Caenorhabditis elegans: one gene and its partner. The protein of the gene in region 2 interacts with the protein of the main gene of each other region in a biochemical or structural test. Each region holds a gene or a part of one and is shown on either strand. Other genes may lie near its edges.

The links.
Region 1: the proteins of snet-1 (region 2) and npr-34 interact in a test that uses a peptide from one of them, tested with the Caenorhabditis elegans proteins (one large-scale study listed by BioGRID).

What each region holds. Positions count from the first base shown.
Region 1 is NC_003280.10:14,733,902-14,741,175, forward strand, and holds npr-34 (G-protein coupled receptors family 1 profile domain-containing protein), read right to left. Parts: upstream 5,343-7,274; 5' UTR 5,337-5,342; coding exon 5,196-5,336; intron 4,362-5,195; coding exon 4,227-4,361; intron 4,182-4,226; coding exon 3,949-4,181; intron 3,902-3,948; coding exon 3,658-3,901; intron 3,600-3,657; coding exon 3,490-3,599; intron 3,440-3,489; coding exon 3,280-3,439; intron 2,428-3,279; coding exon 2,173-2,427; intron 1,907-2,172; coding exon 1,665-1,906; intron 1,621-1,664; coding exon 1,513-1,620; intron 1,470-1,512; coding exon 1,374-1,469; intron 727-1,373; coding exon 609-726; 3' UTR 504-608; downstream 1-503.
Region 2 is NC_003284.9:3,667,543-3,670,902, reverse strand, and holds snet-1 (Protein snet-1), read left to right. Parts: upstream 1-1,960; 5' UTR 1,961-2,031; coding exon 2,032-2,102; intron 2,103-2,153; coding exon 2,154-2,250; intron 2,251-2,297; coding exon 2,298-2,421; intron 2,422-2,469; coding exon 2,470-2,483; 3' UTR 2,484-2,803; downstream 2,804-3,360. Other genes in the region: BPTI/Kunitz inhibitor domain-containing protein C02F12.5, read left to right, coding at 176-281, 403-463. UniProt on the Caenorhabditis elegans protein: Negatively regulates chemotaxis and olfactory plasticity which is the change from positive chemotaxis to dispersal after prolonged exposure to an odorant. May be down-regulated in response to pheromone exposure, resulting in promotion of olfactory plasticity.

The DNA of each region.
Region 1 (7,274 bases), on a different chromosome or scaffold from region 2:
TGAAAAAAACAAAAAAAAATAAAGAATTGAAAAGCTAAAAGGGTTTTAAAAAATTTTCAATAAAATTTACTATTTTTTCTCAAGTCTATTTCATTGTTTTTTGAATTTTCCTCAATGAGGCTGAGAAGATCACTGAATAATTTTTGGGACAAAAAAACTGATGGTAATCGCACTGAGACCCGCTAATAACATTTAGAGCTCAAGAACATGAAAAATATCAAAACCAAAAACACCTCTAGAGAAGCCTCTGACCCTTCGGCGTGTAGGACGAGGCACACAGACACAAAGTTATGAGACAGTTTCGTATTGGAAATCCTGTGTCTCTTATCATTTCACACTCTCTCACCACTCTCTTTGTTTTGTCACTGCAAGCTTCCCACAGACAGAAAAGTGCAAAGTGAGAGAGAGAGGAGAACATTATTGGATTTTCATTTTTTGCGCTTTTTCATACATACTTATTTATTTACAGTGTGTTCTGTGTGTGTGTGTGTGTGAAGATATCGTTTAAAACATATTTGATTTAGATTTCGAATCGAAGAACAAATTGCAGATATAAAGAGAATTAGAGAAATAAGAGGAAAAAAGTTTAGAATCGAAAGGAAAAGTCTCTAGACAACCACTGCTGGCGGTGTTTTTGGTCGGACAGCGTCACGGACACTCAGTCGGTCCGTGGTTCGTTCCATGGATTGACCAGATGTGTTTGATTGGAGAGTTGGACTTCTTGTTCTGAAATATATGTAGGTTAGGTTAATCAGATGGTCTTCTAGGAATATAGATTTAAAGGAGCATAACATAAATTTTGAAATTTCAAAAAGAGGGTATACAACAGGAGTGGACTGCAAACGATTTTTTTCTGACAAATCGGCAAACAGGTAAATTGCCGGAATTGAAAATTTCCGGCAAAAAAAAACAGCAAATTGCTGATTTAACGAATTTGCCGGAAAAACGGCAATTGCCGGAAATTTTTAGCAAATTGTGTCTGCACTTTTTTTTTGGAAATTTTACAATTTCAATTTTAATCGGCAAAACTGTGATCCTTTGAATGTTCCTTTATCTATTTTGAAAAGTAACAAATTCTATGAAAATATCTAAAGAAAACGGGAAAAAATTCAAAAAGGCACAGTTTTAAATGTTTCTTATAAACCGTCTTATAAAAAATCCCTCTAAAAACTTCCGGCAAGTTGATGCTCGAGAAACTGCAAATTGGCAATTTGCCGAAATGCTAAAAAAAATTTTCGGTTGGCCGGAAATTTTTATTTTCGGCAAATCGCCAATTTGCCGATTGACGAACATCAATTTTTGCCGGTTTGCTGATTCGCCGAAAATTTCAATTCCGACAAATTGCCAATTTGCCGGTATTGTAGTTTGCATACCTTGATGGGAACAATGAAGAGGTGTCCGATGCGCCTGTAGGACTTCTCGATCGGACTATGGTAGACATTTGAGATGTCGATGTTGGGCTACGGGGTCTAAACGCAATCAATTAATATTTAATTCTTTAGAGTAAGATACCTTATAGAGGAGGATCGTCGCGAAGGCTTTGTCGACTGCGAAAGATCCGTGGGGCTACGTGGTCTTCCGGAATCATGGGACACGTCGGTTGGCGATCTAGGACGATGTCTGAAAAATTACTTGCTGAAGAAGCGTCCACAGATCTCACGAACCTCATGAAAGTCGACGGAGAGTCTCCGGCCATTGGACTCTTCGGTCGGCAGAACGACATTTGCGACGTCGGCCTGCACAATGACAACTGTGAGACGTCGCGTGACATGTTCGGAGTGATCATGGAGCGACCGGGCACTGTGAGTGTGTTGAAGCTGGACCCGTAGATTCGGTGCTGGTTGCGGGTCGACATCATGCTCGCCGAAGAGCACGATCCCATACGAGAGCGCATTTCTTCCACGCCCTGAAAGTTATTTATTAGAACTTGGATTGAAGGATTAAAAGATTAAAGAATTAAATACAGAGCAAAAAAAAAACAAAGAAATGATATTGTCATTCTTATTTTTTAAACCAAAAGGGTTTCAGAAAAAAGATTCTATTTTCAAACCACTCCATGCAAAACTCTTCATACCCTCTTTCAACGGATCACCACTATGGACTCCTGAACCTTGTTATATATTTTTTAAACAATGCTCCTACAATAATTTAAAAAAAGAGAGTTTCACCCACCTGAAGACGACTTTTCATTCTCGAATAGGCGGTCTTGAACGTGGACCGGAAATTCTGAGAAATGAAGGCATACAGGATAGGATTAATGCATGATTGGCAATAGGTCAGCGCATTAAATCCCATCCGCATATGCTTCAATGTCTGCGTATTTGATGTTCGACAAATGTACCCGAAGGACGTCAGAAGCTCGTCGACGATCGTTGGGAGCCAGCAAACCGTGTACATGCAGACGATGGAGATTAACATTTGAACTATCTGGAAGTTCAAAAATTTTAAGTATAAGTAGTTATTTCACGTATAAGTTTTTTTAGAGAACATTGATTCTAGATTGGGTCTAGAAATGAAAACTGAAAAAACGCTCTCAACCGGAATTGAGTTTTTCTGCCCAAATTTCAAACAACTGGTCCTTTGTACACAATATGGCTTATCTATAGTTTTATCTAAGCAGCCTGTCTGCAGATATAGTAGCCTATGTTCTGCCCGCTTGCTCTGTTGGCCTCCCCTCCTGCGTAAGAGGTGATTGTAAATGAGAGACGTTCGAGTCCCTAGCCACTGAGGGATTGCTCAGTGGTATTCTTGAATTCACTAGTCATAATAAATTACTCGGCATTCAGAGGCAACTTCTTGCCACACTTTGGCAACTTATTTAGTGCCACTAAAATAAGTTGCCGAATTGCTGGTAGGAAGTTGCCGAGTTGTTGGCAGGAAGTTGCCACGTAGTGGCAGCAAGTGGGAAAGAACGCTCAGCAACATCTAAATGTTGGCAGGAATGTGCAAAAGTTTGGCGGGAAGTTGCAAGTAAGCAAAGTTTGGCAGAAAGTTGCCTCTGAATGCCGAGGAGCGTTCTTTCCCACTTGCTGCCACTACGCGGCAACTTCCTGCCAACAACTCGGCAACTTCCTGCCAGCAATTCGGCAACTTATTTTAGTGGCACTAAATAAGTTGCCAAAGTGTGGCAGGAAGTTGCCTCTGAATGCCGAGTATATGATTATTAGGACATAACACAAACTAACTGAACGATGATTCTAGATACAACTTCTCTGTTTCACTGTGAACTAAAACGCTAAATTTTTAAAAGTCATTTAAAGTCGCGTAATGTCAACGCACCTGTTTCTTATTCGCCTCTGCCACGCGATTATTTCTGTGATTACTGTAGGACTTGATGGTCGTGTTGGCGGTTTTCAAGTTCCGGGAAGTTGTAATCATGGGGATTGCAGAGTAGCCGGAGAAGGTAACGGCGTCAGTGGCGGCCTTTGAAAATGCGACCCTGAAATGGTGAATAGTTGGTGAAGGTGAAGATGGAAAGTAATAACTCACATAGCTTGGGAAAGTATTACACGATCTTTCGACGACTTGTACACTATTGCAGATACACGAGCATAACATATGGACATTGTGAGCACCGGGAATATGATAAGTAGCAACAACTGGAAATTGAAATATTCATAAAAATTTAAATTTGAATTTCTAAATGTTTGTCCCAACCTGATACATGGCATATGCTTTATTCAACGATGTCCTAGGATATCCTAAAAATTGCGCGGGAAACCGTCTTCGACACCAATGCACCCTCTGCCCGGACAATGAAAGATTGGTCTCATAATCCATCCGAACAGCGGTTGGGACGGCCAGTACCGCGGATGACATCCAGATGAGTAGGATTACTTTTTTAGCTCGTCCTATGGATGAAAACCAGATATTTCGCATAGGATATGCTATTGCAAGAAACCTCAAAAAACCCATTTTTAAAGGAGCATAATCTCTCTTTTCTCTAACCTCTCAAAACTAATCATAGTCATCGTGAGCACCGAGCAGAAGCATGTAAACTGTTGAATGTAGTGCACAGAATAGCACGCAAACCTGCCCATCGACCACGTATGCGACATATACTTCATGAACATTATAGGCACACAAAACCAGATAAGGCACAAGTCGGCGGTGCTGAGCGAGGCGAGAAAGATGTTCGTTACGTTGCGCATTCGTTTGAATCGGTTTACAACAAATATTACCTAGAGGAAATATGATGTTTAAAATATCCATACGGGGGGACTCACCATAGAGTTTCCAATAGTTCCAACTAGAAAAACAGTGAGATATAAGAAGCCGGGAAGAGCGATCTCGAACAACTCCTCGTCGGTCATTGAGAAGAAAACAGTGTCATCGGGTACAGTGCAGCGAGAAATGCAAACCTATAAAAAATTTATGTTGGGGGTGGAACTAGGAGGTTTGATAATCAGGGCATGGTGGGATTTGTCGTTGGGAAATGGGCTTCAAAAAATGTTGAACTTTTCAGAAATGGACTATTAGGCAGCTGCTGAGATGATATAACAAATCTCATTATAGAAATTTTTCTACATGAATTGATAGCTGTGACCTAACGCTTTTTGTGAAGAGTCTATCGGGGGTACGCAATTGGCGAAATTACCGAAATTGCCGAAAATTCGATTGCCGCGCAACCCTGAAGGTTATACCAACATTTACTAAAATGTTGGATAGTCATAACTTTGCTAGACTTGGCTTACCTTGCTTTACCAGTTTTACCAGTTTACCACAGTCAGCACAACACTTGCAGTCATCAAAGCAACGATTTTTTCCGGCAAATCGGCAAAATGCCGGAATTGAAATTTCGGCAAACCGGAAAATTGTGGGATTTGAAAACTTCCGGTAAGTCGGCAAATCGGCAAATTGGCGATGTGCCGAATTCGCCGGATAAACGGAAATTGATATCCGGTAAATCGGCAATTTTCCGAAAATCAAAACTCCCGGCAAATCGACAAACCTGCAGTTTGCCGAGTTTGCCGTTTGCCGAATTGGCAGTTTGCCGAGTTTGCCGTTTGCCGAATTGGCAGTTTGCCCAGTTTGCCGTTTGCCGAAGTGGCAGTTTGCCGAATTTTCCAAAAATTTCCCTAACGGCAATTGTCGTCCACCTCTGACCCTTACATCGAATGAAATTTGAAAGAAAAAAAAACAATAAAATGAAATTTGAACTCTACCGAAAAAATAAAGAGGAGCATATTACTTACCTCAAGATACTTGTGCAACGGATGTGTGCAGTTGCAGTCCATCGCAGTCATGTTACTCCAGTCGAACGTTTCGTCATACTCGTAATCGAACGTCGTCTCCTGCACCATGTAGCATGACGGATCATCTCCGTCTTCGGACATGGACGTCTGCAAGTGGGCATATATTGATAAAAATTATTAGTAATACTACTATTAAGTAAAAAGGTTAATAATATTCATAAGGAAGAAAATAGCAAAAAAAAAGTGGCTTGGAAAATTTTGACGCTCCAGTTAACCCTATCAAAACATAATGTCCATGCTTGAGTTACTAAATTCAACTTCAAAAATTAAAAAAAAATTGAAAAACCAATCAATATTAGTTCTATCCGTGTGTGTATAACAACATGATAATATCAAATATGTGGCGAGTGCCCATCGCCAATCCTCAACTAATCCGTAGCCAGTATTTTCCAACTGATATCCATCGCGACGTCGTGTCTTATTATCAAGGGTGAGGAGAAATGAAACAAAAAACGGATTTGGCTCGCGGAGCACACAAAGTGTAGGTGAGTAGTTGGTTGAGCTCTGGGGCTCGATGGAAGAAAAGGAGAAAGTAGAGAGGCAAGAAATTGATCAGGAAATCTTATTAGAATCGCCGCATAAATTAGTAAGGTGTATGCGCGGTGCGGTGGATGTATATTTCATTTGGTTGGAAGTTTTTTTTTCGACAACGGTTGGGATGGAAGAAAAGTTGCTTGCATAAATTGATGGGTGAATGGAAAAGGGAGTTGCTTGTGAGGAATTTGAATTTTTTGTTGAAAATGTTGTTGAAAGCTGTCAGGGTTTTATCAAAACGTAAAATGTTTGACTGAAAGTTGACAAGAGTTTGATGCCTCGGGATTTTTTTTGTTAAATTTTTTAACAGAAAGACAAGGGTCTGGTGAATCACCATATTAAAAAAAAGTTTTTCAAAAAATTATCAGTTTGAGTTTTTAAACATTTCTGACCGCCTACAGTGTTTTAAGTCGGAGCCACTTTTTCAGGTTCAGGACAATGTCTGAAAAAATAAAAATACAATTTCTTTCATCAAAAAATTTTTATTCCGTTTGTTTTCAAAATATTATTGGGAAATTTGAATTCTCGTCACTCTCAGCTTTAAAGTGACCCCCATAATGCTCAGGTTTCGCTAATTTTGAATGTTGGCAGTCTCGACACAGCTGAAGCCGGTGCCACAGTACCCAGCTTGGCGAGAACCGAAAATTTCAAATTGGCTCCAACCAGGGCATGATGGTGGTCAAATTAAAGCTAGTGAAGTGGGGAATTTGAATTTTAAGTCAATTTGGGGAGAAATTGAAAATTGAATCAAATGTTTGAGCAACAATGTTTTTTAAAAAATTTGGCTCGAAAAATGTTATTCAAAATCTATCTAAAATTTAAATTCCTTATATTACCAGCTTTTTATTTAAAGAAATAATTACAAATTTTTCGAAAATTTGTTGTAAGTTTTTTTTCAGGCTATATGATATTCAATAACTTAAATTCTAGTGGCTTCCAGCATAACCTCTATAAAATTCCTAGAATCTGCGTCACCACATTTTCAATTTTATTTCCATATTTATCAAAACAAAACCGTGGTCATTGAAAAAAAAATCTGACATATAATGACCAAACATCGAAAATCCTTTTGAAAACAACAGAAAATAAATCAATTTTTTTAGTTTTCTGAAACAAATATCAAGTTTAAATTGTTATTATAGTTTTATTCGAAATTTTGTGCATATTCGGAAAAAAAAGTGTTCTAGAATATGTGTAAACTGTCTGGAAATTTTTTTTAATTTTTAAGAAAAATTTCTAGTAACAAAAAGTAAAAGCTAAAGGTTCTGCTCAAAAAAAATTGAGAAAAAAATTGAAATAGTAAGATGAAGCTTCATTGATGTGGAACTTTTTTTTACATTTTTTAAAAGTTTATTTTTAGGCTTCAAACTTTGAAGAAATATGTGCTTTGGTAAAAGAAGCAAAAATTCAAAAATATGAGGCATTTTGATGGCATAGAGCATAATTTTGAGGGATGGCCGAGGTTTTTCTTCCGCGGCCACGTAG
Region 2 (3,360 bases):
GGAAACATGTTGCACATTCCTATAGTAAAGTTAATTTTCCTTCCAGGAATAGGCACTTTAACGTCAATTTTGTACTAATAAATTAGAAAAGAAGTGTAAAAATAAATTTTCAAACGAGACAATTTCACGCTATAAATAAGTCTACCCATCGCTTTCCACTTGGTCGAACTTTCAGACGAATGGAACAAGGAGAATTCACCAAAGTGTTTGAAAGGTCAAGTTGTCCAATTCAAGCAATGGTTTGGAATGACGCCTCTTATTGGACGTAGTTGTTCGCATAAGTAAGTAGTACTTCGGAACAGGTGAAAAATATTTCAGATACCTAGCCTTTAAAATTAGCATTTCATTTGTGATTTGCACAAATATTTTAAATGACACTGTTCTGATCTTTGGATTTTTCAGTTTCTGTCCCGAGAAATCGACATGCGTACAGGGAAAATGGACTGCTTATTGTTGCCAATAATTCATCTTTCTGTAACCCTGTTCTTGTAATGTATATTTGCGATCGAATGAATTTCTCTGAAAAAGTATCTAGTCATAATTATTGGAAATGCGTCAAAGGGTCATCATAAGAAGACACCTTGCCTTAGGCTATTCAGACACTCTAGAAGCATCGGAAATTAAGTTAATACACAATCATAAAACCTAATCTGATTCCATTCTGACATGCACGCGCCAGCAACTTTTGACCGTAGTTTGAAAAAGAACATGCCGGAAGTTCTGGATGCGAATCTTCAAAAACTGCAATTTCCAATTAAAAATGCAGCCCTTGCAACATGTTTGACCTCGGGCACAATGCGTATTATCGCATTAGAGGCCCTCGTGTGCTTAATGAAAAAAAAAAGTTATATGAATTTAGTAGCGCCACTATTCTTCTCAAACTCTTACTCTAATTAATAAAAAGTAGCAGTTTTCCATGCACATACAAAAGTGATATACAAACCACAATATTATAAATGATGTGAACTTCTTGAAACAGAATTTCAAATTCTGTTTCTTTGCCTTTCAGATTTCATTATGAACATTGTGAATAATTTATTGGTATTTAGAAAGATCTTCGTTTGGAAAAGTAAACAATCGTAAAATCTATGGAACAAAATATAGTATGAATATCAAAAATATGAGCAGATTAATCAAATCCGTTAGAAATGTGTTATGAATTTTTCATTTACAGAGAAGAAGTTTAACTTTTGTGATTGTTATTGCATTCTGTTTTACCCAATCACAATAATAGGAACATTCAGTAAAACTAAGAAAGCTTTTGTCGAAAAACAAAGCAATTCGATTGAAAATCACTAAATCGCCATGATAGAGTCGATGCTTATTATTGATTGTTTTCACCGCCACATTTTCAAATAATATTTTGATAAAATTTTTGATACTTCTTGTACTTTAAACATTGCACAACTGTAAAACACCGACGCTAGGAAAATCGATTGCAGGCTCAGTCTCGATACGAATTTTTTTGTACTTCTTTTTTTTTGAAATTGGCAGTCAAAAAGTTGCAATTGCTGAGCTTTTGCCACTTTTTGAAAAACTGCAGCATTGTCGCATGTGCGGATCCTTACTATGTTGAAGTATTGTTAGTCAAAGCATGAGTACTATATAGTTTGAAATTAGTATTTTTTGATCCGCGACTTCCAAAAAAAGTAGCAAAAATTGAGATAATTTTTTTTCGAATTAACTTTTTTAGACACATGACACATTTCTATTTTTGTACAATTTCCGTGCACATATTACTTTTTTTAACTTTTCTCAAAACGAAACATGTCATCAGATTCCTGTTTCTCGAAAACAATATCACTTCAGTGCACTTGAATAATTTTTCCTCGCGTTGTTAAATCTAATCTCGCTGAGAAAGTATTGTTGAGGTCATTGGAGAAAATGCAGAAGAGGCGGAGCCCGAGCAAAATCCCACTGAAAATCTACGGAGTGAGGGGCGTGGCGTGAATAAAAAGTCAGTAGATAAAAGGAGCGATCGGCGAAAGAGACCTCACTCTTCATCACGCTCACTTTGACAACACTTGGAGAATGGCGCGCTTCACCCCACTTCTGATGATCCTTCTTGCTCTTGTTCCACTGTACTACTCACTGGATTGCAGGTTTGTGTAGATTTCAATTTAAAACAAACAAGTTTCCGTGTTTTCTTCTAGAAAATTCTCGTTTGCACCAGCTTGTCGTGGAATCATGCTCAAAAGATCCGGAGGTCATCCGATGATTGCGGAACAACAACCAATGATTGATAATGCGGTAATAATTTTTGTTGAGTTTTGCTACTTCAAATTTATTTTTTCTAGAAAGCCCGCGAAGTTCAAATGATGGAGCTCCTTATCCGAAATATCGAAGACGAAGCGTTGATTGCCAACTCAGACTGCGTCAGCATGTCCTGGCTCCGGGATCGTCTCGTCAACGCCAAGAACGGTTAGTTAATTGCTTCTTGGATTTAATAGGTATATTCACATCTTTCAGAGATGCCGCAATAGACTGAGACTTCTTTAACAGAATTCCTACCAATATATACAACACTACCAACAATATACCAACTGTGAGATCGAATAAGTACCAACAGCCGATACCAACGTGAGCACTTGTGACGATTACTAATTGAGGAGGATGAACGCCGTATTTCAGAAATTTTATCCAATCCGCGGCTAACACACAACAAGCAACACTTCATCTCTCTCTTTTTCACAACTTTTTTATCATAATTTTTTATAACTTTCTTCCACTTGTCGCCATATACCCTTCTCGATATCTTGGTTACTCTTACTCTCCTACTAATAAATAAATCTGTTGAATGAACTTTCAATTGCCTAAGAGACTTTGAGATGAAATTTGAAAAAATTTGGAATCAGAATCAAATCACAAATAAATATGCCCAGGAACGTTAAGAAAACGTTAATGGAAATTTGTGTGATGTCAAGGAGAGCAGCTGAAAATTTATAAATTTTCAGGTTCGTACAACATTTGGTTCTTACCAAGTGTACGATATGAGCTAAAGCAAGAGTGGTTTAAAATTTTCAGGCGGAATCTACGGAAAAGTTTTATATGGTAAGCAGAACACCTAAACATTATTCGACACTGCTAGAAAGTTCTGCAACAAAGTAAAGACTTCTGGAAACTTTTGGCTTTCACGAGAATGTGCTGGAATAGTCTGAAAGAGGACTAACAGTTCAATGTATTTTGAACATTTAAACTCATAATGCACTCATATGAACAAATTTTTCATCAAGAAAAAAATTTTTCGAAGAACTTGATCTAAATTTTTGAACATTTTTTTGAAAGTCGCATTTCAGAATTTATCCAATTAGCTTATTCTCAAACATTTGGGTACTAGAAAAAAGTTCTGAATGATTTTGA